Arabidopsis thaliana: one gene and its partners. The protein of the gene in region 1 purifies or fractionates together with the protein of each later gene. This does not show direct contact. Each region holds a gene or a part of one and is shown on either strand. Other genes may lie near its edges. The genes, in order: CRR6, ndhH and ndhI.

Region 1 (5,683 bases):
AATAGGTACAAGATCCGATTATAGATAGAGATCCGGATACAGAGAATAAATACCTAAGAAATCCCAAGCGAAATTAAAAAGGCCGCATCGATTCACAAGTTATACGAGCTTCACATCAATAAGAATCCAGGTGGAGCTTGGGAACAGTACCCAGGTCCCAGATTGGGGCATCGAAATCGACAACCAACACTCGAAAGCGAATGCCTTTTACAACCCACAGAAGAAGAAGCGGTCAGAGGAAATAGATTTTAGGGTTTGACGGGGGAGTGAATATGTATGTCTGTCTCTGTGTTATCCAATCGCTTCCTTCCTTGTCTCATTTTTAATTGTTGTCAGTCAGTCATTTTATTATTTTATCATTATTTTCTTCAAACTAAATTTGGTAACAAAGTTTTACATTTCATTCTAATTGACCGTATTCTTACCGATTTATCTTCTGCCTTTTTAATTAAGGGATATATATAAAGAAAGCTTTTCAATTATAGAAATAAATTAAGCTGCCACATGATAACGAAATTAAAGTGTGCTTTCTATGTATTTCTCTTTCTCGTTGTTATCTTTTGTTTTGGTAATGTTTCTAGAAATGTTGGAACTTCACCGAAATAAACATGGTAACTGACTAGATTCTAAAAAATCTTGTTCAAAATTCATCATATAAAATAGACATCTGAAGATAAGAAGACTTACAAATAGAATACTTTGGTTTAATGGAAACTTTCTTTCCGTTTTTCCTCTTTTTACGCAATTGTATTTGACAAAACAAAACTAAGCAGAGTAAGCTTTTTGTTGCCGTGATCACAGCACTTTCGCCGCTTTAATGGGCCAAAAGGTGTTTTAACGTTTTACTTTATATAATTAAGATGAAATCTTCCTTCTTTGGATATAAATAATGATTTGGACAACTACTGATTTGGTCAAAACGTAAACAAAAACAAACAAACAAAGGAAAACGTCAAAAAAAAAAAAAGGTGTTATGAGTTATAAAAAATAACATTATTGGGCCGTAAGAATCCTTTTTTTCGTCTATATGGGCCGAATTGAAGTCTAAATGGGTCTCGATCTTAACTATGCCTACACAGCATAAAGAAGTTAATCACTACAACAAAATCATCATTTGGCCTTATAATAGATATTCATTCTCAGGCACTCTAAGACACTGTGAAGTGGATCTTTTGACGCTTATGTTCATCTTACTAGATTGCATAGGTGAGCTTTTTCTCTCAAATCATATTATCTTTGCCACTGCTATGGTAGAGACCTTGGGGACTTATCTTTGCCAAGGAATGTTCCATTGCATAGCTATTTAAACTTTAAAGTGAGCAGAATTCTCAGTCTTTGAGCTACTTACTTACAAAGCCTCTATTGTGCAACTCCTTTGACCCGGTACGACCTTGGAAGACAAAGAAGGCCTCACTGCTTGCAAGGGGCAATGGCGAAGAAGAAGATCAGAGACGGTCAAGCTTGCAGATGCTCCTGAAACACCTCACCAACAGTGAAGGAGATTCGACAATGCCTACATCTACATGAGACCGAGGAGGCTGACTTGAGTTGAAAACATTCCACATTAAAGAAGAGAGCTCTTCATTTTTCTGAACGATTGAAGAAATGCATTCTGCTTAACATTTGAAACCTTTACGACAGACAGCAAAATATATGTATTTGTGCGGTGAAGGAAAAAAGGATAAAATGGAAAGAAATGAAGAAAAGGCCAAAAGAAGAGGATAAAAAGAAGACTAAGACACAAAGAGAGATAGCGTCTGTGAATGGCAACAAAGGCAGTTCTTCTCCCGTGGCTTATCCCATCGCCGAGACACGTATCGCTGTTCCCAGTGGTTCAATTGCCGGCGTTGGAGACCGCCGGGTGGTGTGTAAGAAAGAGGAGGGCAGAAGACGTAGCAGTCTCCGTCGCCTTCAATCCTTCTGGCAATTTCGACATCTCTGCCTTCGAGAATGACCAAGGTTCGTACTTGCTCAATTGATTCAGAATGATAAATAAAAAAAGGCTGCTACTAATTAATTATGTGAAAGGCGTAGCAGATTCAGATAAAGTGGAACCTCCGATGCCTCCAACGACCGGCCGGTACGAAGTAGTGATCGACAACGACTCAATTGGGCGGCTTGACCTATCCCCGTTTCAGAGAGCCATCGGCATAACCTCGCCTGATGATTTTGGTGTAGCTGAACCAAAACGGTATTTGGATCGAACCATCGGATTCACCATCAATTACAAGAGAGAAGACCCCGGGGATCCGCGGGAGCTGTCAGAGTACCCGGACGTAAGACTATGGTTCGTGAGGCTCGACGCGATGTACCCTTGGCTGCCTCTGCTGCTGGACTGGCGAGCTGGAGAACTTGCTCGATACGCAGCCATGTTAGTGCCGCACCAGATGAGCTTGAGAATGGGTGTCGTTTTCAATCCGGAGGCGTTGGAGCTTTTCGTAATGAACAAAGTGTTTGTGGTTTATCCGTGGCTGAAACGGCACGGCGTCCCAAAGCCCAGGTTGAAGACGAGCGACATGGCCAGGATGCTCGGATTCGGTATCGGCGATGAGCTCTTCGACTTGATCGATCACAATGAATGAAAAACGATGTGTTCTATCTTCAAATTACATACGTGGGCCTAATTGTGGGCTTACAATGAAAAAGGCCTGGGGATGGTAATTAAGAGGATTTTTTTGGGTATTTGATACACACGTGGCGAATATTCATTGGATAAGTTGTATTAATAGCCGTAAAATCTGGGAAAATAAATTCAAAATCTCGAATATCTGAAGAGAAGAGAGAGCCCATTCAAAATTTGAAAAACAAATCAACAATTGGTTTATTCGTATCTTTCTCATTTCTCTCTAGTCTATATCGCTCTCAGAATACAATTGGAAAAAAGAACAAGGTATTTAGGAATCTCTCATTCTTGAGTAGCTAAGCATTGAGGTCTCCTTTGCGTTTATAGATTATTTTTTTTGGTTGAAATTGTTTGGTTCTGTTGGGATATGTTGTTGTGTTAGGGAAGAGAACACAAAAAGAAATGGTTAGAGAAGAGGAGAAATCGAGATGGTGGTGGTTCGAGAGCCACAAGAGCTCCAAACATTCTCAATGGCTTCAATCAACACTCGCTGGTTGGTTCTTTTTCTCACTCAGTTCTTCTCTATGTTTTGTGGTTTTTGCCAACTTTTTGGTGTGAAACGTTTGTGGTGCAGAGATTGATGCAAAGACAAAGGCAATGTTGAAGTTGTTAGACGGAAACGCAGACTCTTTCGCTCAGCGTGCTGAGACTTACTACAAGAAACGTCCTGAGCTTATCAGCTTTGTCGAAGACTTTTATCGAGCTCACCGTTCCTTAGCCGTGAACTTCGACCACCTCAAGTCTTCCGACCACTATGGATCTCGCTCCGCTAAGGTTCCCCAACAATCCATGGAGTCCGTTTGTGACAGCAATTCTCACTTTGAAGATGCCGATTCTGAGATTGAAGACCCCCTTCAAGATGATGCCTCCGCAGCTGATTGCAAAGAAGATGAGACTTGGCAATTGGAACAAGAAAGGTTGAAGCTGATCGAAGAGACTGATGCTCTGAGGAAACAGCTCTTAGACAAGGACGAAGAGAAGAGAGAGGTCATCAGACAGCTTTCTCTAACCCTTGAGACCCTCAAAGACGAGAACTTGAGCCTCAAGAGACGCCTTGCCCACCATTCTCTCAAGCAACGCACCGTTTTGGAGTTCAAGCCACTAAACAAGTTCTTTGGGAAGCTGTTTTACATTATGTGCGATGGCAACAAGGTCCTTTAGGTTGGCTCATCTACCTCATGAGCTTAGCTTCGATATTTTCTGTGGTTCATTTCACTGTTTATCAAGATATATCCTGTCCTTTCCGTGCTGTATTATAACCGGTAATTATCCTACTTAATAATGCATGCTGTTCTGATTTGTTCAATCACAAGAACCCAGTTTCAGACAAGGACATGTGATGAGTGATACATAATTGGATGATCAATCAATTTTGACTTTGAGGCACAAAAAACACACACTATCACTGCTACCAAGTACAACAACTGCGCACTAGCCCAAACTGCAGAGTGCTTTATGAGCAAATCTCACACGAACGAACACTAGAAGAAGCTATATTAATATTACATGAAAAAAATTCAGAAGAAGCAGAGAGTAAGAAAGAATACATTTGTGAATATTTGGTTTCTGCTGATGATATTGTGTAGAGTGCTGCTTACTCGCTGTTTCTATATGATTACTAGAAGAAACTGCAGAAAGCTAGTAGCAACATGAGTAGGACAAGAAGCAGAGATGAGAGTTGTGATGAGACCAAACAAACAGAGGAAGAAGCTGGAAGAGGAGATCCAACTGGAGAAACTTCGAGCAGAGGATCAGGAGTGACAGCATCTGGGTTTGGTGGACTAAGGCTTGAGGGGATTGTCGGCATGATAGACGATTCCGACGGGGAAGGAGACATTTCGCTTGAACCTGGAGTAGGGAACAGGGGAGAGGTATCTGGAGACATGGCCGGGGTAGAAGCTGAGAAACTCGATGGAGCTTCAGGCAAGAACGAAGGTGCAGCTGATATGGTGGACAGCTGAAACTCAGATGTTGAAGTGTGTAAACAGAGTGAGAGAACGGTGAAGGCAGTGAACAGAGAGACGGACATGGTTACTGTGAATGTCTCTCCTGCTTCTCTGAGAATGTTTCTGAGAGACCTTAAGAAACTGAAGAAGAAAAAGGTATACAGCTATAGAGGAGGTAAAAGACAAGATTGGTGGGTTTGGTTGTGGACCTCTGGCTTAGGGCAGAGCACATGAAATATGGATTTGTCGGGTTTTGATTTGTGTCGGAGTGTTTGTATGTTTTGATTTTGTGAATAAAAAGTTATTAAAAAAGCAAAGTAGAGTCCCGTGAAGCTCTTCCCTCAAATATAGAAATGAGTGCCAGCTTTTAACTTGCTATGCTTTTTCCTGATCTGCAACAATCTTAGGTTTATTGTCAGTTGATGAAGACAATAGAATTGGTAAAAAGGAAGCACCGATTCACTGATATATATATATATATATATATATATATATATATATATTACAGTCACAGAAGACATTGCTGCATTTCATTTTCTCATAGAAAATCAGACACTGAATAATTTGTTGACTTTTGTCGAGATTCTGGCAATGCTTTTAGCAGTATACATTCATCTGAACACAATGGCCGAGCATTCTCATGGCCAACTTTCTATTAAACTCAATCCATAGAGGTTTGAATAAAGAAGAAAGAATTCACTAAACTTTGAGTTTGAGCAGCACAAGACCTTATGAATGAGGATGAAGCTGAAAGCTTTCCCATATGTTCGGGGAAGCTGTATGAGCTTTCAGTGGTTTCCATCTGCGGACGCCTTTTCGAATATTTTATGCCCACACCAGTCCATCAAAGCCGATTTCCAGATTTGACACAGGGCTGTCTCCAATACCTTGGTCAAGCGCTTGGGTGTCATCTATTGGATCAACATATGGCTCGAGCAGATCAGCGGATCTTTCCGAGGGAATTCCATAATCTTTGAGGATGCACAAGGAAGCAGAATTTGAAGCTTCCCTCTCCAACACAGCAACATAGTTGTCTTCGAACTCAAAAACTAGATACTTATCTTTGCACATATCAATGAGATGTGCCAAGTGATGGATGTTTCTTATTGGAATT
Region 2 (5,493 bases), on another chromosome or scaffold:
CAATCAAAAAGAGAAGAAACAAGACGGATAGAAATTGCAGAAACTTGGGATAGCTTCCTATTTGCTCAAATAATAAGAGGTTCTCTCTTAGTAACTCAATCAATTCTTAGAAAATATATTATATTACCTTTATTGATAATAATTAAAAACAGTGTCCGTATGTTATTATTTCAATTTCCCGAGTGGTCCCAGGATTTAAAGGATTGGAAACGTGAAATGCATGTTAAATGTACTTATAATGGGGTTCAACTATCCGAAACAGAATTTCCAAGAAACTGGTTAACGGATGGTATTCAGATAAAAATCCTATTTCCTTTTTATCTTAAACCTTGGCATAAATCTAAATTTCAAGCATCTCAGAAGGCTCGACTAAAAAAAACAAAAGACAAAGGAGAAAAAAATGATTTTTGTTTCTTAACAGTTTGGGGAATGGAAACCGAACTACCGTTTGGTTCTGCCCAAAGAAAGCCTTCTTTTTTTGAACCTATTTCTAAAGAATTAAAAAAAAGAATCAAAAAATTAAAAAAAAAGTCTTTTGTGGTTTTAAAGATTTTCAAAGAAAGAGCACCCATTTTCCTAAAAGTCGCAAAAGAAACTAAAAACTGGATTCTCAAAAACTTTATTTTTATAAAAGGAATTTCAAAACGAAATCTAATTCCATTATTTGGCCCGAGAGAAATATATGAATTAAATGAACCTAAAAAAGATTCAATAATAAGTAATCAGATGATTCATGAACTATCTGTTCAAAATAAATCCTTGGAGTGGACAAATTCTTCACTTAGCGAAAAAAAAATCAAAAATTTGATTGATAGAAAAAAGACAATCAGAAATCAAATAGAAGAAATTTCAAAAGAAAAACAAAACTTAACTAATAGTTGTACCAAACTGCGTTATGATTCTAAAATAATTGAGTCATCAAAAAAAATTTGGCAGACATTCAAAAGAAAAAATACCCGATTAATTCGTAAATCCATTTTTTTTTTTAAATTTTGCATCGAACAAATGTCTATAGCTATTTTTCTAGGTATCATTAATATTCCAAGAATTACTACACAACTTTTTTTTGAATCAACAAAAAAAATTCTTGATAAATATATTTACAAGAATGAAGAAAATGGAGAAAAAAAAAAAAATACTCTTTATTTTATTTCGACTATAAAAAATTTAATATCCAATAAAAAAAAAATGAGTTATGACCTATGCTCTTTATCACAAGCATATGTATTTTACAAATTATCACAAATTAAAGTTAGTAACTTTTGTAAATTAAAGGCTGTTCTTGAATATAACATATGCATAACATCCTTTTTTGTTAAGAATAAAATAAAGGTTTTTTTTCAAGAACACGGAATCTTTCATTATGAATTGAAAAATAAAACCTTTTTGAATTCCGAAGTAAATCAATGGAAAAACTGGTTACGAAGTCAGTATCAATACAATTTACCCCAGATTTCATGGGCTAGATTAGTAACCCAAAATTGGAAAAATAAAATAAATAAAGATTCTCTAGTTCTAAACCCAAGTTTAACCAAAGAGGATTCATATGAAAAAAAGAAATTTGATAATTATAAAAAACAAAAATTTTTTGAGGCCGACTCATTATTAAATCCAAAACATAATGTAAAAAAAGATTCTATATATAATCTTTTTTGCTATAAATCTATTCATTCTACAGAAAAAAATTTTGACATGTCTATAGGCATTGCCCTAGATAATTGTTTAGTCTCTTCTTTTCTAGAAAAATATAATATTCGGGGTATGGGGGAAATTCGGCATAGAAAATATTTGGATTGGAGAATTCTTAACTTTTGGTTTACAAAAAAAGTAACTATTGAGCCTTGGGTTGATACTAAGAGTAAAAAAAAATATATTAATACTAAAGTTCAGAATTATCAAAAAATTGATAAAATAACGCAGACGGATCTTGCTAATAAAAAAAGAAACTTTTTTGATTGGATGGGAATGAATGAAGAAATACTAAATCAGCGTATAACAAATTTTGAATTTTTTTTCTTTCCGGAATTTTTCTTATTTTCTAGTACATATAAAATGAAACCATGGGTCATACCAATCAAATTACTTCTTTTAAATTTTAATGAAAACATAAATGTTAATAAAAAGATCATTCGAAAGAAAAAAGGTTTTATACCATCAAATGAAAAAGAATCCCTTCGATTTTATAATCTGAATAAAGAAGAAAAAGAATCGGCCGGTCAAGTAGAACTTGAATCAGATAAAGAAACAAAAAGAAATCCCGAAGCAGCTCGATTAAACCAAGAAAAAAATATTGAAGAAAATTTTGCAGAATCAACAATAAAAAAACGTAAAAATAAAAAACAATACAAAAGTAATACAGAAGCGGAACTTGATTTATTTCTGACAAGATATTCGCGTTTTCAATTGCGATGGAATTGTTTTTTTAATCAAAAAATTCTCAATAATGTAAAAGTATACTGTCTCTTGGTTAGACTAAACAATCCAAACGAAATAGCGGTATCTTCTATTGAAAGAGGAGAGATGAGCCTAGACATTCTAATGATTGAGAAAAATTTCACTTTTGCAAAATTAATGAAAAAAGGAATATTGATTATTGAACCTGTGCGTTTGTCTGTACAAAACGATGGACAACTTATTATATATAGAACCATAGGTATTTCATTGGTTCATAAAAATAAACACAAAATAAGTAAAAGATACAAAAAAAAAAGCTATATTAATAAAAAATTTTTTGAAAAATCCATTACAAAATATCAAAACAAAACTGTAAATAAAAAAAAAAATAATTATGATTTCTTTGTCCCTGAAAAAATTCTATCCCCTAAACGACGTAGAGAATTTCGAATTCTAATTTGTTTCAACTTAAAAAAAAAAAATGCTAGGGATACAAATTCAAGATTTGATAAGAATATTCAAAACTTGACCACCGTTTTGCATAAAAAGAAAGATCTTGATCTTGATAAGGATAAAAATAACTTAATTAATTTAAAATCCTTTCTTTGGCCCAATTTTAAATTAGAAGATTTAGCTTGTATGAATCGCTATTGGTTTAATACTACTAACGGAAATCATTTCAGTATGATAAGAATACGCATGTATACGCGATTTCCAATTCCTTAATCATAAATACTTTTTACTATATATAATAAGTTACGGTATATGAAAACAACTATATGCACAAATATGAGGGATTGTTTTAAATTAAATCTTTATACATGAGATTAATTTAATCAATCACATAGATACCAATTATAGCGGATTCATAAATAAATTAACAGAATCCTTCTTTTTGAGATCTAAATTTAGATTTTTTTCTAAAATGAAGAATTAAGAGGTTGATAATTAAATTAAGATCCTTGTACAAAAAAACTACCATTATTATTACTGATCAGTAAAATTAATATCTTTCAATTCATATTAAAAGGGGAAGGATTTCTTTTTATGATAAAAAATATAGTCATTTCATTTGAAGAACAAAAAGAAGAAAGCAGGGGATCCGTTGAATTTCAAGTATTTAGTTTCACTAATAAGATACGAAGACTTACTTCACATTTGGAATTGCACAGAAAAGATTATTTATCTCAGCGGGGTCTACGAAAAATTCTGGGAAAACGTCAACGACTGCTGGCTTATTTGTCAAAAAAAAATAGAGTACGTTATAAAGAATTAATTAATCAGTTGAATATTCGGGAATTAAAAACTCGTTAAATTCAAAAATTGTGAATTAGTGAATTTTTTAGATCTTGAATTTTTTGATAAACTTCTTTATTCAGAAATCTAATTCATGCCAGAACGAATCAAGGAAAAACTTATGAAGAGACCAGTTACAGGAAAAGATCTTATGATAGTCAATATGGGACCTCACCACCCATCCATGCATGGTGTTCTTCGCTTAATTGTTACTCTAGATGGTGAGGATGTTGTTGACTGTGAACCCATATTAGGTTATTTACACAGAGGAATGGAAAAAATTGCAGAAAACCGAGCAATTATACAATATTTACCGTATGTAACGCGATGGGATTATTTAGCTACTATGTTTACAGAAGCAATAACAGTAAATGGACCAGAACAATTGGGAAATATTCAAGTTCCTAAAAGGGCCAGCTATATCAGAGTAATTATGCTGGAATTGAGTCGTATAGCTTCTCATCTGTTATGGCTCGGCCCTTTTATGGCAGATATTGGTGCACAGACTCCCTTTTTCTATATTTTCAGAGAACGAGAATTTGTATATGATCTATTCGAAGCTGCCACCGGTATGAGAATGATGCATAATTTTTTTCGTATTGGAGGAATAGCGGCTGATTTACCTTATGGTTGGATAGATAAATGCTTGGATTTTTGTGATTATTTTTTAACAGAGGTTGTTGAATATCAAAAACTCATTACACGAAATCCTATTTTTTTAGAACGGGTTGAAGGAGTTGGGATTATTGGTGGGGAAGAAGCAATAAATTGGGGTTTATCCGGACCAATGCTACGCGCATCCGGAATACCATGGGATCTTCGTAAAATTGATCGTTATGAGTCTTACGATGAATTTGAATGGGAAATTCAATGGCAAAAACAAGGAGATTCATTAGCTCGTTATTTAGTACGACTTAGCGAAATGACAGAATCCATAAAAATTATTCAACAGGCTCTGGAAGGACTTCCAGGGGGTCCCTATGAGAATTTAGAAAGCAGGGGCTTTGATAGAAAAAGGAATCCAGAATGGAATGATTTTGAATATCGATTCATTAGTAAAAAACCTTCTCCTACTTTTGAATTATCAAAACAAGAACTTTATGTAAGAGTTGAAGCTCCAAAAGGGGAGTTGGGAATTTTTCTCATAGGAGATCAAAGCGGTTTTCCTTGGAGATGGAAAATACGACCACCGGGTTTTATTAATTTGCAAATTCTTCCTGAACTAGTTAAAAGAATGAAATTGGCTGATATTATGACGATACTCGGTAGCATAGATATAATTATGGGAGAAGTTGATCGTTAAAATGATAATTTATGCAACAGCAGTCCAAACTATAAATTCTTTTGTTAAATTGGAATCTTTAAAAGAGGTCTATGGACTCATATGGATATTTGTCCCTATATTTTCTCTTGTATTGGGAATCATAACAGGTGTACTAGTAATTGTGTGGTTAGAAAGAGAAATATCTGCAGGGATACAACAACGTATTGGACCTGAATACGCCGGCCCGTTGGGAATTCTTCAAGCTCTAGCCGATGGGACAAAACTACTTTTCAAAGAAAATCTTCGTCCATCTAGAGGAAATACTCCTTTATTTAGTATTGGACCATCTATAGCAGTTATCTCTATTTTACTAAGTTATTCAGTAATTCCCTTTAGCAATCACCTTGTTTTAGCGGATCTCAATATCGGTATTTTTTTATGGATTGCCATCTCAAGTATTGCTCCTATTGGACTTCTTATGTCAGGATATGGATCAAATAATAAATATTCTTTTTTAGGTGGTCTGCGAGCTGCTGCCC
Region 3 (3,478 bases), on another chromosome or scaffold:
TAAAATATGAAATAGTATTCAATCAAATTTAATTGAATGAACGGAAAAAATCATAACATACACAAAGTTTTCTTTGGTCTTTAATAATTTAGAACATTTTTTATTGACGAGCCACAGAAATTGCACCTATCAAAGCAACTAAAAGAATTATTGAAATGAGTTCAAATGGCAGAAAAAAATCTGTTGATAAATGAATTCCTATTTGTTGACTATTACTTATTAAATCTTGCTCTAGAATCTGGTTTAATTTTGTAGTCCAAATAACCCCGTACCATGACGTATCGAGAATAGTAGACATTAATAAAAAAAGAATAGTTGTACAAACCAACGAAGTAATCCCATTCCCAATGGTCCACAGATTGAAATCTGTGGAATATTCTGAATCATTCATGAACATCACAGCAAATATGATTAAAACATTTATGGCCCCCACATAAATAAGGAGTTGTGCAGCAGCTACAAAATGGGAATTTGATAGAATATACAATAAAGATATACAAACAAGAACAAATCCTAAGGAAAAGGCTGAAAATATTGGGTTGGGAAGTAATACCACTCCCAGACCCCCTACTAGAAGACCGGATCCCAGAAAAACTAAAAGAAAATCATGTATTGGTCCAGGCAAATCCATTATATTATTAAAATAAGAAAAAATCGAAATCCTTTTCATGACCTTATTAATTTAACCAGGAAATTTGTTTTTTATATGTTTCTAAATAGAGTGAAATTAGAATCTAATGGATATGAATTGATGTAGATACAATTATTAGTATTAGGCTGTTTTCTCTTTTTTTTTTTCTAAAGTGTATTTTCAACCTATCAATTTCAAGAAAGTAATTACGAATATATTATATTAAAAGAATGTGCCTTAATACTTAATATTATTATTATTATATAAATACAATACAAGTTTTTAATTAAATTCTTTATATAAATATAATTCAACAACTTGGAATTCTTTTTTTAATCAAATTAAAGGGTTTACCCCATTTTTTGTTTGAGGTGAATTCCAAATTGTTCGAATAGTGTAATCGTCAATTACTGACATTGGTAAACGACCCAAAGCTATTTGATTATAATTCAATTCGTGACGATCATAAGTGGAAAATTCATATTCTTCAGTCATTGACAAACAATTTGTTGGACAATACTCAACACAATTACCACAAAATATACAAATTCCAAAATCAATACTGTAATTAAGCAATCGTTTTTTTCGAATATTAGTTTCCAATTTCCAATCAACAACAGGCAAATCTATAGGACATACTCGAACACATACTTCACAAGCAATGCATTTATCAAATTCAAAATGGATTCGACCGCGGAAACGTTCCGATGTTATTAATTTTTCATAGGGATATTGAATAGTTACAGGTAAACGATTTGTGTGGGATAAGGTAATCATGAAACCTTGACCAATATACCTTGCAGCTCGTAGGGTTTGTTGACCATAATTCATGAACCCGGTTATCATAGGAAGCATATTGTAATTATCTCTGAATAATTTTATCTTTGTTTCTGTCTCTTGTTTAAAACAAATAATGAATATATTAGATTCATTTTAAATTTAGAGTGAAAAGAGTTGGAAAGAAGTGGTTAATAATAGATTACCAAGGGAAATAGGTAAAAGAAATTTCCATCCAAGATTTAATAGTTGATCCATTCTTAGCCTAGGTAAAGTCCATCTTGTTGCGATAGAAACGAACAAAAACAAATAAGTTTTAGCTAATGTAATAAAGATACCAATTGTTGTTCCAAAAATTTGATCCCTTTGAAATAGCTCCAGAATAGATATATACGGAATAGAAATATTCCAACCGCCTAAGTATAGAACTGTTACAAATAATGAGGAAATTAATAGATTTAGATAAGAAGCAACGTAAAATAAACCAAATTTTATACCTGAATATTCAGTTTGATAACCTGCTATTAATTCTTCTTCCGCTTCTGGTAAATCAAACGGTAACCTCTCGCATTCTGCTAGGGAAGAAATTAGAAAAATGATAAAACCTATAGGTTGACGCCACAAATTCCATCCCCAAAAACCATATTTTGATTGTGCCTCAACTATATCAACTGTACTTAAACTGTTAGATAATCCTAGTCGGCGAGAACATTACTATTTTCACCGCTATTTCAGAACCGTACATGAGGTCTTGGCCTCATACGGCTCCTCGGGGGCCATAAATAAATCTAAGGACCAGATTATAATTTAGATGGATATGATGTGTTCTAAAATGGATTAAATATATCTGGGGTCCCGAATTATACCAATGGAATTCTGTCTGCTCAAATTCTAAGAATAAAAAACGCGCTTCGGAATTCATCTCACCCCTTTACAAATTTGAATTTCTATTTGTTGAGTAATAACTTAACCCTTTAATAAAAAACTCCTAAAAAAAAAAAGTATTTAAGCCCATCGTGGTTTTCGATTACGAAAAATAATTAGACATCCTATTTTTTTATTATTCATGACAGAAATTCGATTTTATTTTCGAAATATATGAAAAAAAAAAGAGCCTTGTTTCGTTCCTATTCTTCTTTCTTTTTTAGAAAAAAGTTGGTAGACTTATAAAAAATAAAGGATTATTTCGTTTCTGATAGTCATTACATTTGTCGGTGGATAGGAGCATACTCTGAATCGGAATCTTGGGGAGTACTGTCTGATCATTTCTACTAATTTAAAGCCCCAATTAACCTTCTTTTTTTTATCTTATGTTAGGCCTAAATATCCTTTTCAATTTGGTTAATCTCTATTACAAATTCTTTGTGTATTTTGGTGTTTCTAACCATCCACTCACTTTTACCTAATTGCCGCTCACTTTGTAATACATGTATGTTAATCTATATAACTGATAGTGAAAACGTCATCCGGTTACCGGTTAATATATTTAACCCGCTTCAAGTCAGGATGACTAATCAACCAACCTTGGGGTAAAGTGATTCTTACACTTATGTTTATTTCCGTTTAACCTTTGTACATAGGAAATGAGACTCATTTTTCGTTTTACTGCAAATTTCAGAGCAGTTTTTTTTTCACTCATATATAACTATCAAATTCCTTTTATTAATTATTTCGATTAATTCGAAAGATAAATATATATTCCGTTTTTTAACTGATTCGTCTAGAAGAAACGGAATAGTAAAAATAAACGTTTCTGTTTCAACGAATCGCACGTAGAGATATTGATAAAACACATAGAGTTAATGGTATTTCATAACTAATCGATTGGGCAGCAGCTCGCAGACCACCTAAAAAAGAATATTTATTATTTGATCCATATCCTGACATAAGAAGTCCAATAGGAGCAATACTTGAGATGGCAATCCATAAAAAAATACCGATATTGAGATCCGCTAAAACAAGGTGATTGCTAAAGGGAATTACTGAATAACTTAGTAAAATAGAGATAACTGCTATAGATGGTCCAATACTAAATAAAGGAGTATTTCCTCTAGATGGACGAAGATTTTC

Evidence for each region.
Region 2: the proteins of CRR6 (region 1) and ndhH purify together in Arabidopsis thaliana (affinity purification with mass spectrometry, with the first as the bait; one study listed by BioGRID). This does not show direct contact.
Region 3: the proteins of CRR6 (region 1) and ndhI purify together in Arabidopsis thaliana (affinity purification with mass spectrometry, with the first as the bait; one study listed by BioGRID). This does not show direct contact.

The regions. Positions count from the first base shown.
Region 1 is NC_003071.7:19,612,978-19,618,660, forward strand, and holds CRR6 (chlororespiratory reduction 6), read left to right. Parts: upstream 1-1,679; 5' UTR 1,680-1,763; coding exon 1,764-1,959; exon of another isoform or gene 1,960-1,985; coding exon of another isoform or gene 1,986-2,037; coding exon 2,038-2,582; 3' UTR 2,583-2,792; downstream 2,793-5,683. Other genes in the region: NET3C (Kinase interacting (KIP1-like) family protein), read left to right, coding at 3,026-3,116, 3,198-3,784; AGP26 (arabinogalactan protein 26), read right to left, coding at 4,242-4,652; AT2G47935 (uncharacterized protein), read left to right, coding at 4,273-4,572, 4,612-4,744, 5,078-5,241; DEG2 (DEGP protease 2), read right to left, coding at 5,395-5,683. UniProt on the Arabidopsis thaliana protein: Required for both formation and activity of the chloroplast NAD(P)H dehydrogenase (NDH) complex of the photosynthetic electron transport chain. May function in assembly or stabilization of the NDH complex.
Region 2 is NC_000932.1:121,511-127,003, reverse strand, and holds ndhH (NADH dehydrogenase subunit 7), read left to right. Parts: upstream 1-3,811; coding exon 3,812-4,993; downstream 4,994-5,493. Other genes in the region: rps15 (ribosomal protein S15), read left to right, coding at 3,442-3,708; ndhA (NADH dehydrogenase subunit 1), read left to right, coding at 4,995-5,493. UniProt on the Arabidopsis thaliana protein: NDH shuttles electrons from NAD(P)H:plastoquinone, via FMN and iron-sulfur (Fe-S) centers, to quinones in the photosynthetic chain and possibly in a chloroplast respiratory chain.
Region 3 is NC_000932.1:118,277-121,754, forward strand, and holds ndhI (NADH dehydrogenase subunit I), read right to left. Parts: upstream 1,487-3,478; coding exon 968-1,486; downstream 1-967. Other genes in the region: ndhG (NADH dehydrogenase subunit 6), read right to left, coding at 101-631; ndhA (NADH dehydrogenase subunit 1), read right to left, coding at 1,571-2,100, 3,181-3,478. UniProt on the Arabidopsis thaliana protein: NDH shuttles electrons from NAD(P)H:plastoquinone, via FMN and iron-sulfur (Fe-S) centers, to quinones in the photosynthetic chain and possibly in a chloroplast respiratory chain.